Sus scrofa: one gene and its partner. The protein of the gene in region 2 interacts with the protein of the main gene of each other region in a pairwise test. Links are inferred from orthologs where the notes say so. Each region holds a gene or a part of one and is shown on either strand. Other genes may lie near its edges.

What was found.
Region 1: the proteins of LPXN (region 2) and HOXC9 interact in binary tests that used the Homo sapiens proteins (3 or more experiments, as listed by UniProt). The two-hybrid records come from large-scale screens. The link is inferred for Sus scrofa from reciprocal best matches to the Homo sapiens genes LPXN and HOXC9.

Annotation. Positions count from the first base shown.
Region 1 is NC_010447.5:19,208,413-19,216,736, forward strand, and holds HOXC9 (homeobox protein Hox-C9), read left to right. Parts: upstream 1-4,077; 5' UTR 4,078-4,569; coding exon 4,570-5,107; intron 5,108-6,872; coding exon 6,873-7,117; 3' UTR 7,118-7,447; downstream 7,448-8,324. UniProt on the Homo sapiens protein: Sequence-specific transcription factor which is part of a developmental regulatory system that provides cells with specific positional identities on the anterior-posterior axis.
Region 2 is NC_010444.4:12,531,173-12,539,474, forward strand, and holds the start of LPXN (leupaxin), read left to right. Parts: upstream 1-3,607; 5' UTR 3,608-3,750; coding exon 3,751-3,763; intron 3,764-8,302. Other genes in the region: E3 ubiquitin-protein ligase ZFP91, read right to left, coding at 1-304. UniProt on the Homo sapiens protein: Transcriptional coactivator for androgen receptor (AR) and serum response factor (SRF). Contributes to the regulation of cell adhesion, spreading and cell migration and acts as a negative regulator in integrin-mediated cell adhesion events.

The DNA.
Region 1 (8,324 bases), on a different chromosome or scaffold from region 2:
ACCAGACCGTGTTGGGGGAGCCGGAAATAGCCCCGTTTGCTGCGGGGCGGCAGGGCAGGGGGCCGGCGGGAATGCAGGCCGTGGCGTTGAGAGGGCCACGTTCACAGGCCCTAGGGGTTTTGCTCCTGCTGGGCTCAGGAGCCGGACTCCTGGTGTGTAGGGATCCCGAATACCCACCTGGGGTGGGGGCAGGACGCGGGTCTCCTCGCGGCAGGCCAGGAGAATTCAGCGTCTGCTTCCAGCGCAGGCCTTTGCTAGGAGGAGTTGTGCGTGTGGGTGTGTTTTTCCCAACAAAGAGGGATCAGGAGAGAAAAGGGGGGAAAGTAGAGGGGAACCAAGGAGGGGGCGGGGAGGAGGAGAGGGCAGCCGAGAGGTGAACTGAGCCCATTTCAGGGGGAGAAGGAAAATGAAAGCAAATGGAGCACGCCCGGCCTCCTCCGCGCAGGCGGGTGCTGGCGAGCCGGGAGCGGGCGCCCTGCCTGCGGCGGCGGGGATGGCCCCGCTGGGGGACCGGGAAAAGCCTGTCTTAAATTTAATCCGAACTTGACGGTGTGGATTGAACCGGAGGGAATTGAAATCGCTGAAAGGGAGGCGCAGGGCCAGGGGAGGGGATGACTCTAACCTGTCCGTCTTTCTGTCTGTCAGTCTTTCCCACGGTGGTGCTAGCTTGATTGTGGTCTCAGCTGTCCAGGTCTGAGGTGCTGCAGTAAAGGCGCCCCTCCCCCTGAGGGGGCTCTCCTGCGCTCAGTGCACTCTTTTGGGGTCAGAGGAGAGCTCTAAGAACCAGACTGAATGCAGAGCTGCTAGCTACAGCTGGGGTTTCCCCCCCCCCCATCCCCTACAGGGATTCCCAGTGGCCTCCAGTCCCTTGGCTTGCTCCATTGGTGCTGGGGAAAATTGAAGGGAGTGGCGGGGGTGAGAGGAGTCTGGGGATCTGGCAGGAGACCCAGCAGGCATCACTGAACCTGGGAAGACAACCCCCTCCTTCTTGGTGCCCCCACATCCTTTGTGCCCCCCACATCTACAGGCCTGGATTTGGGGGAAGCCTGAAGGTCTGCTTCAGAGCCCTGACCTGCCACCCCGCCACCAGACGCAGGGAACCGGTGGTACAACCCACACACGCAGTGGTGGAACCCGAGGGACTTCAGCCTGGTGGCCTGGTGAACTCAGGGACTCCCAGCCCCTTCCAGCCCCCCTCCTTCAGGCTGCCTCTCCCTGCAAAGGCCTAGGCAAAACGGGGCGGCGTTGGTGGGGAGGGGGCTGTGGGCGAGGCCTGCTTCCTGATCCACAGCTGTGTCTGCGCCTGAGTGGGGAGGGTCTGAGTTCACGCTCTGAACCGGAGGTGACAATCTCCCCTCAGTTTCACAGAGAATTTGAAGGCATGCAGCAGAGAGCTGGGCCTGGTGATCTCGGCTGCCCCGTGGCTGCCGCCTCTGCCTCCGGGTGGGCAGGGAGGGTGGGCAGGCTGCTCAAGAGTTGAAAAGAAGGCAGTGGCCGAAGGGGGTAGGAGAGAAAGGGGCATCTGTTTACAGCCACTATGCCTGGGGGGCTCTCCCAAATAGTGGAGGCCCATGGAGAGGGGCTTTAGGGGCGTCTTTCTTCTAGGAAAACTGAGGTTGGGGTAGATGGGCCCTGTTGCCTGGTGAAGACTCCAAGGAGGAGCGAGCGTGAAAACCTCCTTGGTCATAGCTTTGCTCCTTGACGAGAGTGTGGCTCAGTCCCCAGCTGCCTGGGCGGCTGTCTGGGCCGAGATAGGGTTCGATATCCCCGGAGGCCTGGTGTACCCACCCCAGCAGGTCGCCAGGGAGGGGCAGGAGAGGAGGCCTCTTCCTCCTTTGTGTCCGGAGGCGCGGAGCCGGTCCCGCAGCAAAGGCCCGGCTGCACAATGCCACGGCTGCTCGGCCAGCCCGCGCCCTGCCCCGTCTGCCTGCCTGTCGCCGCCCTTCCTCCGGCTCGCTCTCTGCATGCCTTCCTTTCCCTGCTCTCCTCTCGCTCTTCCTCCTGCATCCCCTCTCTTCTGTAATCCTCCCCTCCCTCTGCCTTGTATCCTAATCCTTCGTTTTCTTCTTTCCTGCCCTCCTTCCTTCCTCCCTTCCTCTCTATGGGCCTGGCGCCGTGCTTCGGTCGTACTCTCTCAGGCTGTCTCGGGCTGTCTCTCTCAGGCTCTGTCCCCTGATGTCCTCTTGGTCGCAGTCTGGCCCCGGGCCCTCTGAAGGCGACACGTCTCTGCTCTGCGCTGCCAGCAGCCACCCCAGAGCCAGGCAGGGTCCCCCAGCCTGCACCTGGGGGACGTGCTGATGGTGGCACTGGGGATTTGGAGAAAGCCACGGCAGGGGGACGGGAACCTCCTGTCTTTTCCTTGAACTAGTGAGGGAAAATTTTTGATTGACAGCTAACCCAACTCCATCAAGGCCAAAGAGATATTCTGTTTCTTGCTGTAATTTGGATTTCCCAGACCCGTCCAGTCCTGGGGAGGGGAAGGCAATCACGGCCTGGGGTGAAGAGGTTGAGGCCCCTGGCTGCCTCTCCCCAGCCGGGCACTTCTCACGTCCCCCCCCACCCCCATGCGTCAAAATCCCAGCCCCGCTAGACCGAAAAGGAAGGAACCAGAGAAGGGGAGGAGCAGGCACTGGGGAGGGGGCCTGGCAGGCTGGGGTCAGTGCTGCAGGCTGCAGATCTACCCTTCCCCCTCAACTCCCCCCCCCCCCAACACATATCCTACAATCTCTGGGACACCTCTCTCTAGCCCTTCTTCTCCCCAGAGGAGACAAGTTGACAGAGATGCAGGAAAAAAAAAAGCAGCCTCCACCCCCACCCCTGGCGTTTGGTCCCCTCCTGGGGACAGGAGTGGGAAAGAAGGGCAGGCAGGCATCTCGGGTCTGGGAAGACTTGCCCTTCCCTGCTGCCTCAGAGCCTGTGTCTAAGCCTCAGCGCCTGCCTCTTTCCCCTAGCGCAAATTAGACTCTTCCCTGCTGACCCTGAAATTGCACCCCTCCTTCAAACTCCCTCCACCATGCCCAGGGCGCATCTGTCTCTGGGGACATCACCTGCCCTTCTCCCCCGCCCCCAGCCAACTTCCCTGACCCCTCTCTTGCACCTACACTGAGAATGTCCTGCTTGCCCAAAGCCCACCTTTGCTAAACCACCACGGGACAGTCTGCTAGAAAGCAGAGGGCTGGGCAGCGAACCCCAAATTCAAGGAGGAGGGTAGCAACCAACTTATTGGGGGGAGGAATCCAAGTTGTGTGATCGTCCCCACAATCACACTGCCCCCTCCAGAATTCCTGCATCTGACTCCAAAGAAATTGCTCTCTCCCATTCCTCTGTAGCTTTTTTCCCGTTCCAAAAACAGCCTACAATTTTATTTAATGAAAGACACATTTATGAACAATCAAATGATCCTCATAAAATTTTTATTGAAGGACGTAAAAACAAGCTACTTGCCCACGACCGAGGTCGCTCTTTCGCCTTGCCCGCTCTCACCCTGGCTCTCTGCAGACAGAGCCCGCGAGCGACTTCTTTTTTCAAGTGGGGGGGCAGGAGGTCTCAGAGATGGAGTTGGGGGCAGAGGAGGGTGAACAGGAAGACAGGATGGGTACGCCCCACTGAAGTTGTGTAGATCTCTCCTCCACTTCTTCAGGCTGGCAAAGAAAGATAAATAGATATAGACAATAAATTTAAAATACAGGCGTTTGCATGTCTGTGCCAAAGCAAAGAGAGGACTTCTGGTGACAAAGGTGGATGAGGTCCCAAGGTCCTACCCCTCCCACCCGTGGACCACCTTCCCCAAGCTTCCCCTGCCCCAGATTTGGGGGGCTGAGTTGGCCAGTGGCAGAAGGACGCTCCCCTTCCCTCCTTCCCTCCCTCCACCCCAGCTTCCCCAGTCCCCTCCCACTCTCCCTCCCTCGCTGCTGCTGCAGCTCCTGAAAGAAATACATACATACACACTATTTAAAAACGCATTTTTAAAAGCCACGTTCCGAACTGACAATCGCTGATCTCGGCTCGCGCAGAGACTGCGGGAGCGTCGGGGCCGACAGAGACGGATTACGTCAAGAAATAGTTCCTCCACCTACCTCGCCGGGTCTCTCCGCCCCTGCGGGGCTCCCGCGCCCAGCTCGGCCCCGGGGGTCCCGGAACCCTGGCTTCGGGGACTGGCATTTTCACCCCATTAAGAAATCCTCCCGGGGGTGGGGGCGGAGGCCATCTGCCTATGGGTGGACCTGGGCCAGGGGCTGCTCTGCTGAGATGCGAGTTGTCCTGAGGGGGTGGCCGGGTCCTTGGGTCCAGAGTTGCGGACCCCCAGGAAAACGCAGGTCGCGGGGATCAGCAGAGAGAAGGGGGTGGGAGAAGGGAGGGAAAAAAAAAAAAAAAAGCCAGGAAAAAAAGCCCCTGCGCATTGATCCGCGCCGTATTTTTGGGTAAATACGATCACGTGGGGGCCGGGGAGCCAATGAGCTGCGGGGAAAAGGCTGGAAAAATAATTACCTGCCTTGATTGTTCTGTGAGCAGATAAAAAGTACATATACAGTTCATACAATAATCTTATGTATGTAAAACCCTGTTACGATGTCGGCGACGGGGCCCATCAGTAACTATTACGTGGACTCGCTCATCTCTCACGACAATGAAGACCTCCTAGCGTCCAGGTTTCCGGCCACGGGGGCTCACCCCGCCGCCGCCAGACCCAGCGGTTTGGTGCCGGACTGTAGCGATTTTCCGTCCTGTAGCTTCGCGCCCAAGCCGGCCGTGTTCAGCACGTCGTGGGCGCCCGTGCCCTCGCAGTCGTCCGTGGTCTACCACCCGTACGGCCCCCAGCCCCACCTCGGCGCCGACACGCGCTACATGCGGACTTGGCTCGAGCCGCTGTCCGGCGCCGTCTCCTTCCCCAGCTTCCCGGCCGGGGGCCGTCACTACGCCCTCAAGCCGGACGCCTACCCCGGGCGCCGCGCCGACTGCGGCCCGGGCGACGGCCGCAGCTACCCGGACTACATGTACGGCTCGCCCGGGGAGCTGCGCGACCGCGCCCCGCAGACCCTGCCCTCGCCCGAGGCGGACGCCCTCGCCGGCAGCAAGCACAAAGAGGAGAAGGCCGACCTGGACCCCAGTAAGTTGGGAGCAATTTTCCTTTACAACCCGCGCGGGAGGGGAGGAGAGGACGGGCGGGAGGGGGGAGCCGGATTACAGCCCCTCGGAGCGGTGCAGGGAGCGCGGGAGAGGGGCGAGGGCGAGGGGGCGAGGACTCAATAAAAGCGAATTACCTTGGGGAGCTTTCAGGGGCAGGAAGGTCTGAGAAGGGGGCCCAGGGAGCCAGGTTGGGAGAGGGCTGAGGGGGCTCCTCTCTTAGGAGCTGGCTTTGATGAGAGCCCCCCCACCCCACCCACACACACCCCCGGCCCAGGCTTTTTGGCTCGCTCTCTACTTTCGAAGAAATGCAGACAGGGCCAGGGGATGGGGTGGGGGCGAGGTTCGTTTTATGGTTTGGGGTGGGATGGGGGAGAGATGAGGACACTAGGGGCAGAGAGGAAATAACCCCAGGGAGAAAAGCCACCTTTACCTCCCAGGCAGCATGGGGGTCCTCACCCCACTAGAGATTCATAAAACAGGAGGTCCATGGGCTTCTCTCCCTGGAACCCTGGGTGAGGGATCTGGGTGCTTTCCCAGGCTGGGAACTGGGAGAGATAAGGACTTCCAGAGTTGGGGGAGACAAGTGGGGTCCCAGTCTCCTTAAACTTGAGAGCCCTCTTCTGAGGGTCTGCAGGAGAGAGGGGTGTGGATGGGAGTCAGGGAAGAGGAGTGGGGAAAGGCATCTCCCCAGATTAGAGAATTACACACACACACACACACATACACACACATGCACACACACACACACACACACACACACACTCCAATCAGGGAAACAGGAGACTTCTGAGTATTGCAAAGAAAGCCAGGGGTTGGGGGCTGGGGGACAGGTGAGAGCTGCAGGGCCAGAGAAAGAGGAAAGAAGGGGAAACAGCAGGGGAGGGAGTGCAGCCCCTGGGTGTGAGGAAGTGTCTGGGGGAGTCCCTGGAGGGGGCTGCAGGAAATCCTTTCCTGAAGCCCCATAAGGGGCCAGGGCCTAATTATACCCCTCTGAAGGCTTCCCTTCTTGCCCTCAGCTACTCCCATAAACCTGAAATTGGAGGCTTGGCTCCTGCAGAGCCTGTCCCTGGGGCTGGCAGGAGGAGGGGGACACTGGAAGTCAAAGAGGGAAGCTAAGATATAGGGGAGCCTGTCCCCAAGGCCAGCAGCTCCCTGGGGGAGAGGAGCAAGGCAAAGCTTTCCCCGGCCCGGCATCATCACCCTGAGAATTCGCCTCAGCAGGGTTCAACTCCGAGAGAGCGGAGACGGGGCGCTGGAGAGGGCAGTGAGGGGCTTGGGGACTCTCAGGGTCAGGAAGCAGAAGTGCTGAAATTTCAGGACTTGGTCGTGGGCTAGGAGGATGGGAGGGGGCAGAGGAGGAGGGAACTGGGGAGGAGAGAGACCTCGCTGTAAAAATAAAAAACAAGAGAGAGAAGCGTTTATGGGCCTATGAAACGGTTGGGAATTTGGACTTTTTATGAGGATATTCTCGAATTACTACTCTTGAAGCTGAGGACCAGACTGTAGAGGCTTTGATAGCTTCGATTTCCTATAGTTTTAGGTGCTGGAAACTGAGGAGGGGAGAGACGGGGAAGGTGGGGGGGAATGCAAAAGGAGTTGGGGGGGGGATTCCTAAATCAAAACGTGTCCAAATTCAGGTTCAATTGTTAGGTTTGGGGAAACTGGCTGAGCCTGGGGGTTGGGGTGGCAGGGGTCCTAGGCTGGAAAGGGGCTCCATTGACCCCTGCCTGTGTTTGGCCCTCCAGGCAACCCCGTGGCCAACTGGATCCACGCCCGCTCCACAAGGAAGAAGCGCTGCCCCTACACCAAGTACCAGACGCTGGAACTGGAGAAGGAATTTCTCTTCAATATGTATTTAACCAGGGACCGTCGGTACGAGGTGGCCCGGGTTCTCAACCTCACCGAGCGGCAGGTCAAAATCTGGTTTCAGAACCGAAGGATGAAGATGAAAAAGATGAATAAAGAGAAAACCGACAAGGAGCAATCCTAAACCCTGCCCCGGCCTGCTGCCTCGGCACAGCCAAGGGAAAAACACAACAAAACAAAAAAACCCACAAAAATACCCCAACCCAGGAGGGAGACAGCACGAAAAAGAAAAGGAAAGAGCAAGATAGAGAAAAGCCAATCAGCTTAAAAAGAAAAAAAAAAGGGGAAGGGGAAAAGGAAAACTCTTGCGATTTGGGAGGGTTCAGTGTTGAGAAATTGGTGTTTTAGAGTTAGTTCTACCCGGCGAGGAGGAGGAGGAGGAGGAGGAGGCGGGGAGAGAAACCGCGTTCTCTTCTCCCAGCGCAACTGAAATAAATGACACACACAAATGTGATTTTTTTCTCCTTTCTTCAGAGAAGCCAGTACTTGAATCGCTATATTTCTATTTTTTTTTCCTGTATCGTATTTGGCCCGGGCCATCCCTCCCCAGGCCTGGGGTGCTCTGCGTGCAGATTTTGTACAAAAAAAAAAAAAAAAGACACACATACATACACAAGAATGCTTCCAGCCCAGGAGCTGAGGGGCGAGGGCCGGGGACCGTGCCGCAGGCTGGGTCCGGCGGCGCAGGCCGGCGCCTCGGGCGTGTACATAGCAGTGTCTCCTCTCATCCCCAGAGTCCGTCCTGTAACGTGCTTCTGTTTGTTATGGTAGAACAGCTCTGTGTTAATATATCGAAGTCACTTAAAAAACCAGAAACCCAACTGCATCCAGTTCTCGTTATTTCTCCTCCCTGTGGCTCCTGTCCATGGAGGAGGCAAGTGCTCAGATCCTTTGGGGGAGGCTGGAGCCCCGCAAGGGGCTCCCTGGACATCGGAAGGGCAAGTGCCCACTGCTGCTCTCCAGGCAGGCTGTCACTGGGGTGAGGGTTCTGGGGTGCGGTAGAGGCCGCTGAGGCCCGGGTCCAGGGTCCAGCTCCAGCTCGTGCCTGCCCAGGCTGGCTGCCTCCTGTGTGTGTCTCCGGGTAGCTGGATGGAGTCCCCCCCGGGAGGGGGTGCCGGGGAGGGGGGTGGGGGCACGGCATGAATGGTTTTCCCTGGCTGTAATTAATTGTAATAATTTATGAGTACACGAGATCGCAGGGGAGAGATAGGTGAAGATGAAAGTTGGGTGCTGGGTGAGGGCCCGGGCTGGAGTCCTGCCTGGCTGCATAGGGGCTTCGTGGGATGGCTTGGTGCATGTGTGTGGAGGGGGTGGTGCTAGGGAGGGTGGGG
Region 2 (8,302 bases):
GCTGCCCTGGGGCGTCGGGAGGCCTGGCGCTGGGGCTGCTCCTCCGCCGGCGGGGATACTCGGCCTTCCTCCGGCGGGACACAGCGGCAGCGGCGGCGGCGGCGGCCGCCGCAGCGGCCCGGCCCCGGTCCCGACCTCCCCTCAGCACGCGGCTGGTAGTGGTCCCCGCAGGCGCCGCCACCGCCGCCTCCTCAGGGGGCTGTTGTTGGGGCTCCTCCGGAGCCGCCTTGGCCGCCGCCGCCGCCTCTCCCCCTTCCTGGTCCTGCTGCTCCGGGGGTCTCGGCTCTTCCGTCTCCCCCGGCATCGGGACTCGTCCGTCCCCCACCCCCTAATCCCAGGCGGCGGAGGCGGAGGCGGCGGCGGCCGCGACGCTGCTCCCCCCCGCCCCCCGGAGCGTTCGGCTCACTCACTGCGCTCCTCTTTTTCCCCCCCTCCCCTCCGCCCGTCTCCGAGGGCGCCCCCCCCGCCCCCTGCCACTCAAAGCCCGCTACTGCTGGCGGCGCGCGCGCGCCCGCCACAGGCGCACAGCGGGCCAATCGGAGAGGAGGAACAGCTCCTTCGCCCCGCCCCTCACAGTCTCTCGCGCAGCGGCGTACCGGGTTCCCGCCTCCACCCCTTTCTTCAGCCAATCAGGAAACGGCTCCGAGGGAACGCGCGAGGTTTCCTTCCCCGCGCACCCGTTCTCACCGTTAAACGGCTGCGTCTCGCGACAATCCCAAAGTGACCTTTTTTTTTCCCCACCTCCGAAGCTCAACGCGCGCGAGGGGCAGTGGGAGGGTCAGGTCTCGCGAGGAGATTAGTGGGAAGAAAACGCACCTCTTTCCCCTCCTGGCGCGCACCCTGAACTGGCTGCGCGCGCACCTGCCTCCCTAAGGAGCTGCTAATGCCGCAAGGGCTCTTTCTAGCTTTCTTCCTTAAGCCGCGGAAGTAGCCTCGGCGTTCTTCTTCCTCCACCCTGATCCCACTCTCCTGTCTGTGGCCTTTCTGTCCCCAGCGCCGCTAGGTCTTGCGGAGAGAAAGGGGAAATTTTTTTGAGCTGTCGCTTCTCCTTTAAGAAAAAAAGCCCCGTCGGCTGCCGGATGAAAGTCTCTGAAAAAATGGCGGCGGCAAAACAGAGGCGGGGTCGTGAGGGCAAGTAGGGCCCGCCTCTTAGCGCATGAGCATGGTTAACTTTTCCAAAGGCATCCTGGGAAACGAAGTTCGGCTTCTCCTACGCCTTAGGAAGAAAGCTAGGAAACCAGAGGCGGAGAGGCTTCTGGGAGTTTTTGACTGGTGCATGATGGGAAAGGTAGTTTACTCTTTCCGCAGTTAGAATTTGCTCTTCTGGGGAGGTTGTGTTTCCGGGTTAGGCCGCAAGGAGCCTGCGCAGGTCCGGGCACAACTGTTGATCCCGTTGCTGGTCGGGATTGCCTGGCAGGATTTTCCTTGCTTCTTTAACTTGGTGTTGGCGAATCATTTCTAGGGTGGCCACTTAATAGCCCTTACCTTTGTTTGGTTATATGGCACATCGTCTGAGACTGGCTAGCGTTCATATCTGCAATATCCGTCTTCTCCTGTGTCTGACCCACTAACCTGTGAGTGTCTCAAAGTCAAAGATTGATTGTGGTTCCATTGATTCATAGGGGGCTTAGCACAATCACCACCACTCATTTGATTTTTAATAAAAGTTTGTGGAAAGAATTGTAGAATTGTTTTTTTATTAGATGTCGCCGGGGACAAGGAACTGGCGTCAGTTGCTTAACCTGGCTGTGGTCCCTGGGCTGGAGAGAAGGATGAAGGGTTGTTTGCGTGACTCTGGTGACCCACCCAGAAAATTGAAGGCCTCCTTCACACCCCCCGCCCTGAAGCCGTGTGCTTCTGTGGTTTTTACTTGTTTTGTGTTGCACAGGAAGCGTGGTCAGAATAGCAGCTTTGTCAGAAATTACTTTTCTCTCCACCAACATGTGCAACTAAATTGCCCTAATGCATCAAAACGAAGTTTCCATTTGCTCATCTTCAAGTTGGATTTGGTGAGGGTAGTGAGCCTCTTGCGTTCCTTCCTTTCTGACTTTCATCTATTATAATCAAGAAGCGATCTGCAGGAACGATTCTTAACCATGGAAAATAAAACTCCGGAATTAAAAGTCTCCAAAGTAAATGAATAGAAACAAGATCTTGGGATCCAGTTTTAAGTGTCACATGAATCATTCAGTTAAACTGCAGTTGGAGTCCCACATTTGCAAGCCAAGGGCTGAGAACATTATTCCTTCCAGTGTTTTGGTTCAGTTACCACTTCAGATGGGCCAATGTTCATAGTCTTTGTGGAATGTTTCGCACTTTCATGGGGCTACTGGCATTTCAACTGTAAAAACTGTCATAGTGTAGATGGAAAATTTTCAAACCCCCATTTGCAGTGAGCATACTTTTAGAATGGCACTGACATCCAATGGCTGCTCAGAGTAATGCAGAGGTGGGATCTCCTTTATGTCAAAAAAAAAAAAAAAAAAAAAAAAAGTTTTGAGAGTCACAATGGAATGAAATGGAGAACAAATGATTCCTTTAGAGTAACCTAAATAGAGATCACTCTGTTGTAGAGGAAAGATTACAAACTTGGAAGATAAATCTATCTTATAGCAAGTTACAAAGCTACCTACTAATTCTGTTATCTTTAGCAAGTTACTATTATCTATTTCACCACTGGTAAAAATGAGGGTACTATCTATATCACAGAGCCATAGTTTTAGTTCTTTAAATACTGCCTTCTCATATTAGGCTTTTTTTAAATGTTTTATTCAAGGTGAATAAAATCACAGCAGTAAAAAAAAAGTGAAAGTTAATCTCAGTGTGACTTTTCAGAAAAACTGCTATAAGGCAGTAGGCAGGAATTGTGCTTAATTGAGATGTCTGCAGCTTAGAACCTGGTGTCTCAAATCTCCCAGTTTCATTCTTCACAACCCCTATAGTTTGCATTTTGAACCACTGAAATAAACCTGGCCGAGGGAATTAAAATGTAACCTGGTCCTGATAATCCTGTTCTGCCTTTAATGGGTTGACAGTCTATTTAGGAAAGCAGGTGAGCATAATTTCCAGATAAGTAAAGACAGCAAAATGAGGAGCTCCTGCTGTGGCTCAACAGGATGCATGTTCAATCCCCAGCCTCACACACTGGGTTAAAGATCCAGTGTTGTGGCAGCTATGACTGAGGTCATAACTGCGGCTGGGCTCTGATCCCTGGCCTGGGAACTCTATATCTGCTGAGCGACCAAAAAAAAAAAAAATGAATTGGGTGCTGGTTAACTCTGATGAGAATTTTATGAAGGAGAATTTTATGAAAAGCATGAACCCCAGCTTCACAGAAAAAGAAAAAAAAAAAAAAAGATTCTCTGATACACAGTCACACACTGGGAAAAAACACAAGTGCAAATCTGCTATTCCCATGAATTCAAGATGGATCCTGGCACATAGGAGTTTCTCAAAATTTTCAAAATTAGGTTTGAATCTTTATCACCCGAGCCAATGCACAATGAGAACTCAAACCCAACTACCCACCTTTTCTATGTCATTTTAAAAACTCTGACCTGCAAAAGGACAAGAGAGAAAGAAACCCACCAAATCAAGGGAGAGGAAGTGCTAGGCAAATAGAGGAACCAGAAAGGGTTATAGAGGCTGCTGCGTGCTGCCTCATTCAGTTCCTTTGTGGTCCTGTTCTTCAGCACTTGCCAAAGCAGTTCCTCACAACCTGTGGTACCAGGGCATCTTGGGTGTGAGACAATGGAAGAGTTGGGTGAGTGAGGAGCTTCTTGGAAGAGAAACTCTGGGGGAATGAATGCTTGGCTGCCATCTCCTCGTGTGGTGGGATAAGGAAGGGTAGTGTTGGAGGATTTTATTTTCACTTCTCTCCTGACTTCAGGCCAAGAGTGAAGCATGAGGGACTGTTATTTTGGGGAACTATGGGTTCACTGTTTTCAGAGGCACAGTAGACAGAGAATTTGGTGCTAACCACAGAATAAACTGCACAAATACTTTTGGACTGAATTTTGATTGAAATTGTTATTTTGTTATGAGAATTTTGCTCCTATGAGTTGCTAGAGATCCTAGAGTGGTCACAGAATTGGCAAACCTCAGAGATGTGATTTAGGGAAAAAACAGAAAGAAGGGGGGCAGTTAAAGTGTTATGAGGAGAAGAAATGGGATAGAAGTAGAAGAAGGAGGGATCCCCAAAGATTGGAGAAAGTGGTTTCCTTTGTTCCATGGTGCAGCGTTAAATCAAGAAGATGCAGCCCTCTAACACTAGTGCTTTCATTGCTAAGGTTTTACCGAGAGCAATTCTGAAGGCACAGATTACTGTGGACTGTGAATATATCTCCTTCTATTCCAAAACAATTGAAACCAGAAGAGAAACTATGGGCCCCATTGCTTGGAGAGATCCCTGGTTTCAAATCTTTGGAGTAATGTAAGGTTTGATATTCTTGGGACTCATTCCATATCCTTTGCCAACTTTCGTTGCCATCGTCCCTACTAACACAGTCACTAACATTTATCCACTATCCAAGCTGTGTAATTCCACAGTGTCCAGGGTTTTTGTCTGTTTGGGGTATGTCAAAAGTGCGGACAACAACATCAGCAAAATGTATCTTGCAGGTTGTCTATTAAAAAAACTAACTTGAGATCTGGAGGAGTAGAGGAAGGAACAAAGGCAAATTATAGGAGGGAAGAGATGTTAATGAAAAGGAAAAAAAAAGGAAAAGGGTATTTAATAAATACTGAATTGTTTTGGACGTAAAATCTCTTTTGAAACTTGGAGTAGAATATAAACTTTGCACTTGGGGTAGAATCCAAATTCTTATTCTCTGCTAGGGGTGGGGAAATTCACATTCCTGTCTGAGTTCCACTAGAGTCAAGCTCTCTTTTTTTATTTTTTATTTATTTTTTTTTTTTTTGTCTTTTTGTTATTTCTTGGGCCGCTCCGGGGGATATGGAGGTTCCCAGGCTAGGGGTCCAATCGGAGCTGTGGCCGCCAGCCTACGCCAGAGCCACAGCAACGCAGGATCCGAGCCGCGTCTGCAACCTACACCACAGCTCAAGGCAACGCCGGATCGTTAACCCACTGAGCAAGGGCAGGGACCGAACCCGCAACCACATGGTTCCTAGTCGGATTCGTTAACCACTGCGCCACGACGGGAACTCCATTTTTTTTTTTTTTTTTTTTTTTGTCTTTTTGTTATTTCTTGGGCCGCTCCTGCGGCATAGCTCTCTTTTTTTAACTAGGGATATTTCATGGCTTTCCTGCAGGTAATTGGAAAAGGTAATAATACTTATTCAATGACTTAAGCTAAAACTAGACATTTTTACATATGCTAATTATTTTAGTGTTCCAAGCAACTCTTTGAAATAGGTAGTACCCACTTTTTTTTTTTAATCCAATTGAGAAAACTAAGAAAAACAAAATAATTTGTTCAGTGCCACTCTTTAGAACATCTGATAGCGAAACTGATTAAGCCACAAGCTGTTCTATTTTAGAAGTGTGTTGGCTCAGATGTTCCAGCCAGTAGGCTAACCCAGATAATTTTTTAAAAAATTAAAAAATAGATTTGCGCAGTTTTGCATTTCCTTAGCAGGATGAATGGTAAGAGTAATGTGGTCCAGAAATGTAGAAAGCATCCGGCATCCTGTATATATATCCTAGGAGATATATATATATTTTATATATATATATATAAAATTCATGCATATTATCCAGGTGATTAAACTTCATCAGGCTGTTAATAGCTACACCTCGAAGTCTCCTTTAAATTGTCATCAGCTCAGTAACTACCCCCTCTTGGACCTAGGGTGAACTTTCTTCTCCAATGGGGAGAAATAGAACGGAGGACAGGTCTGGCCAGGCGGGCTGATATTTCCTCTCTGCTGTACTTCCCCCAGGGTTAGTAGTTTGTATCCAGAAGGTCTGACCTAAACCCTCATGATAAGGGGATGCTAGATAAAGGGGAACTTGGAGCAGACTCTGGCTCTGAATGAAGTCATTGCAGTCTAGTGTGACTCCCAAGAGACTTCACTTAATTCCTTCAATGTGAATGTTGATATCATTTGATTTCTGCAGATGAAGAGCTATAGAAAAGGACAGTAGGGTTTTCAGTCTAATAAAATCCCCCACACAACAATAATCCCGTATGTATTTGTCATACTGAAATTAGTCATCTTCAAATTATAGAATCAGGCAAAAGGCCAGATAATCTGGGGGTGTTAGTACACTCAGAAAACAGGAAGAGAAAGGCCTGTTAACTCATGACCCAGAAAGGAGTGTTTTAGTAACTTTGGTTAGCTGATGCTGCCTGGATAATGTTGCACTCTTGGTGGTACATTTTGCTTCTCTTGTAGAGGGTCTTTGGTCTCTCCTCATCTTTACTGTAAATGCCTTTTTATTTTGAATCCAAGAGGATCTGTGACTTTTGGTTGGAGCGAAGCTTACAAAATAGAAAAGAAAGAGGCTATATCTTTTTTTTTTTTTTTTTTTTTTTGTCGTTTTAGGGCCACACCTGCAGCATATGGAAGTTCCCAGGCTAGAGGTCAAGTTGGAGCTGCAACTGCTGGCCTCCACCGCAGCTTACAGCAACACTGGATCCTTAACCCACTGAGCAAGGCCAAGGATCAAACCTGCATCCTCATGGATGCTAGTCAGGTTCCTTAACCACTGAACCATGACTGGAACTCCAAGAGGCTATATCTTAATAGAGGACCACTGAATAAAAATTTGGAACTCAGCAATTTGGTGTTCAGTCTGGCTTGCAAAGTCTTGAGAGAAAAAGGTTACTTTCCCTTCTTACTGTAGTTTTCTTTTTCTTTTAAAAAACGTTTTATTGTGGAGACTTTTAAAATTGACGGAAGGAGAGTTCCCGTCGTGGCTCAGCGGTAATGAACCCATCTAGTATCCATTAGGACTCGGGTTCAATCCCTGGCATCCCTCAGTAGGTTGGGGATCTTGTGGTGCCATGAGCTGTGTGTAAGTTGCAGGCGTGGCTGGGATCCTGAGTTGCTGTGGTGTAGGCTGGCAGCTGTGGTTCCGATTTGACCTCTAGCTTGGGAATTCCATATAGCGGAGTGTGGCCCTAAAAAGACCAAAAAAAAAAAAAAAAAATTTGACAAAAGGAAAGAAATCTGATGTACCCATCAACCACCTTAAATATTCATCAAGTTTTATTCAATCTTATTTCATTTATACACCCAATCATTCCTTCCATTTCTAGTTTATTTTAAAGCAATTGCATACATTATATCATTTCATCTGTAAATATTTCAGCATATATATATGTATATACATTTATACATATAACCATAATGCCATTATCACCTCCAGAATATCCTTGGAAGTAATTCCTTAATAATATGAAATACCGTGATCACATCTAAAATATTAACAGAAATTACTTAATATCATCAAATATCCTTATCATACCTAAAATAAATCTACAGTACTTCTTATTGAATTTTCAGCATTTAATATTCCTAATTGTTTCTTTTTTTGTTTTTTGCCTGTTTAAGATTATGCATTGAAATCATTTACAAGTCTCTTAAGTCTCTTTTAATCTCTTTTTTTCCATTACAGTTTATGTGTTGAAGGGTCATTTGCCCTGAAGAGCTTAGCTCAGTTTCCTTATCTCTAAAATGGTGCATACAATTCAATATGTTTGTGAGATGGATGCTAGAGAAAGCCTGTAGAATATTTTGCTTGTAAGAAATGATTAGATCTTTTCTTATGCCATTAAGACATGCCCATCCCCAACATCTGAAATAAATAAAAATCCTTTTTTTTTTTTTAGAAAAAATGACCTATAAAAGTTCCTTTTCCTTATCTGAAGATTTTAAAGCTAGGCAGATCCTTAGAAATAACATAATACAGTGTTTGCAAAATTTAAAAACCTGCAGTCTATAGTCAGAAATCTGCTGGAGATTCACTAGTAGGTTTCAATCCACAATTAAAAAAATACTGTTATGATACAATTGCTTCACTATGTAGATGAGGAAACAGCTTCAGAGAAGAAAGTGGCATGCCAAGATGACTCAGAGAACCTATGTGAGAATGGAGATGGGAATTTCTGACTTGTAGAGGCTGAGGATCAGATAGTCCAGGATCAGCCAGGTTCTGTGCTATGGCAGCATGTGGCCTTAAACAAGTTATTTGTCTCTTTCTTAATCTATAAAATAAAGATAATATTTGGCCACAAAGCATTAAGGTGACTAAATAAATAAATAGTTAAATATATGAGAAGTGTATAAAATCCTGAACATAATGCCTGTCACTTGTTAACTTTATTATGTATTAACA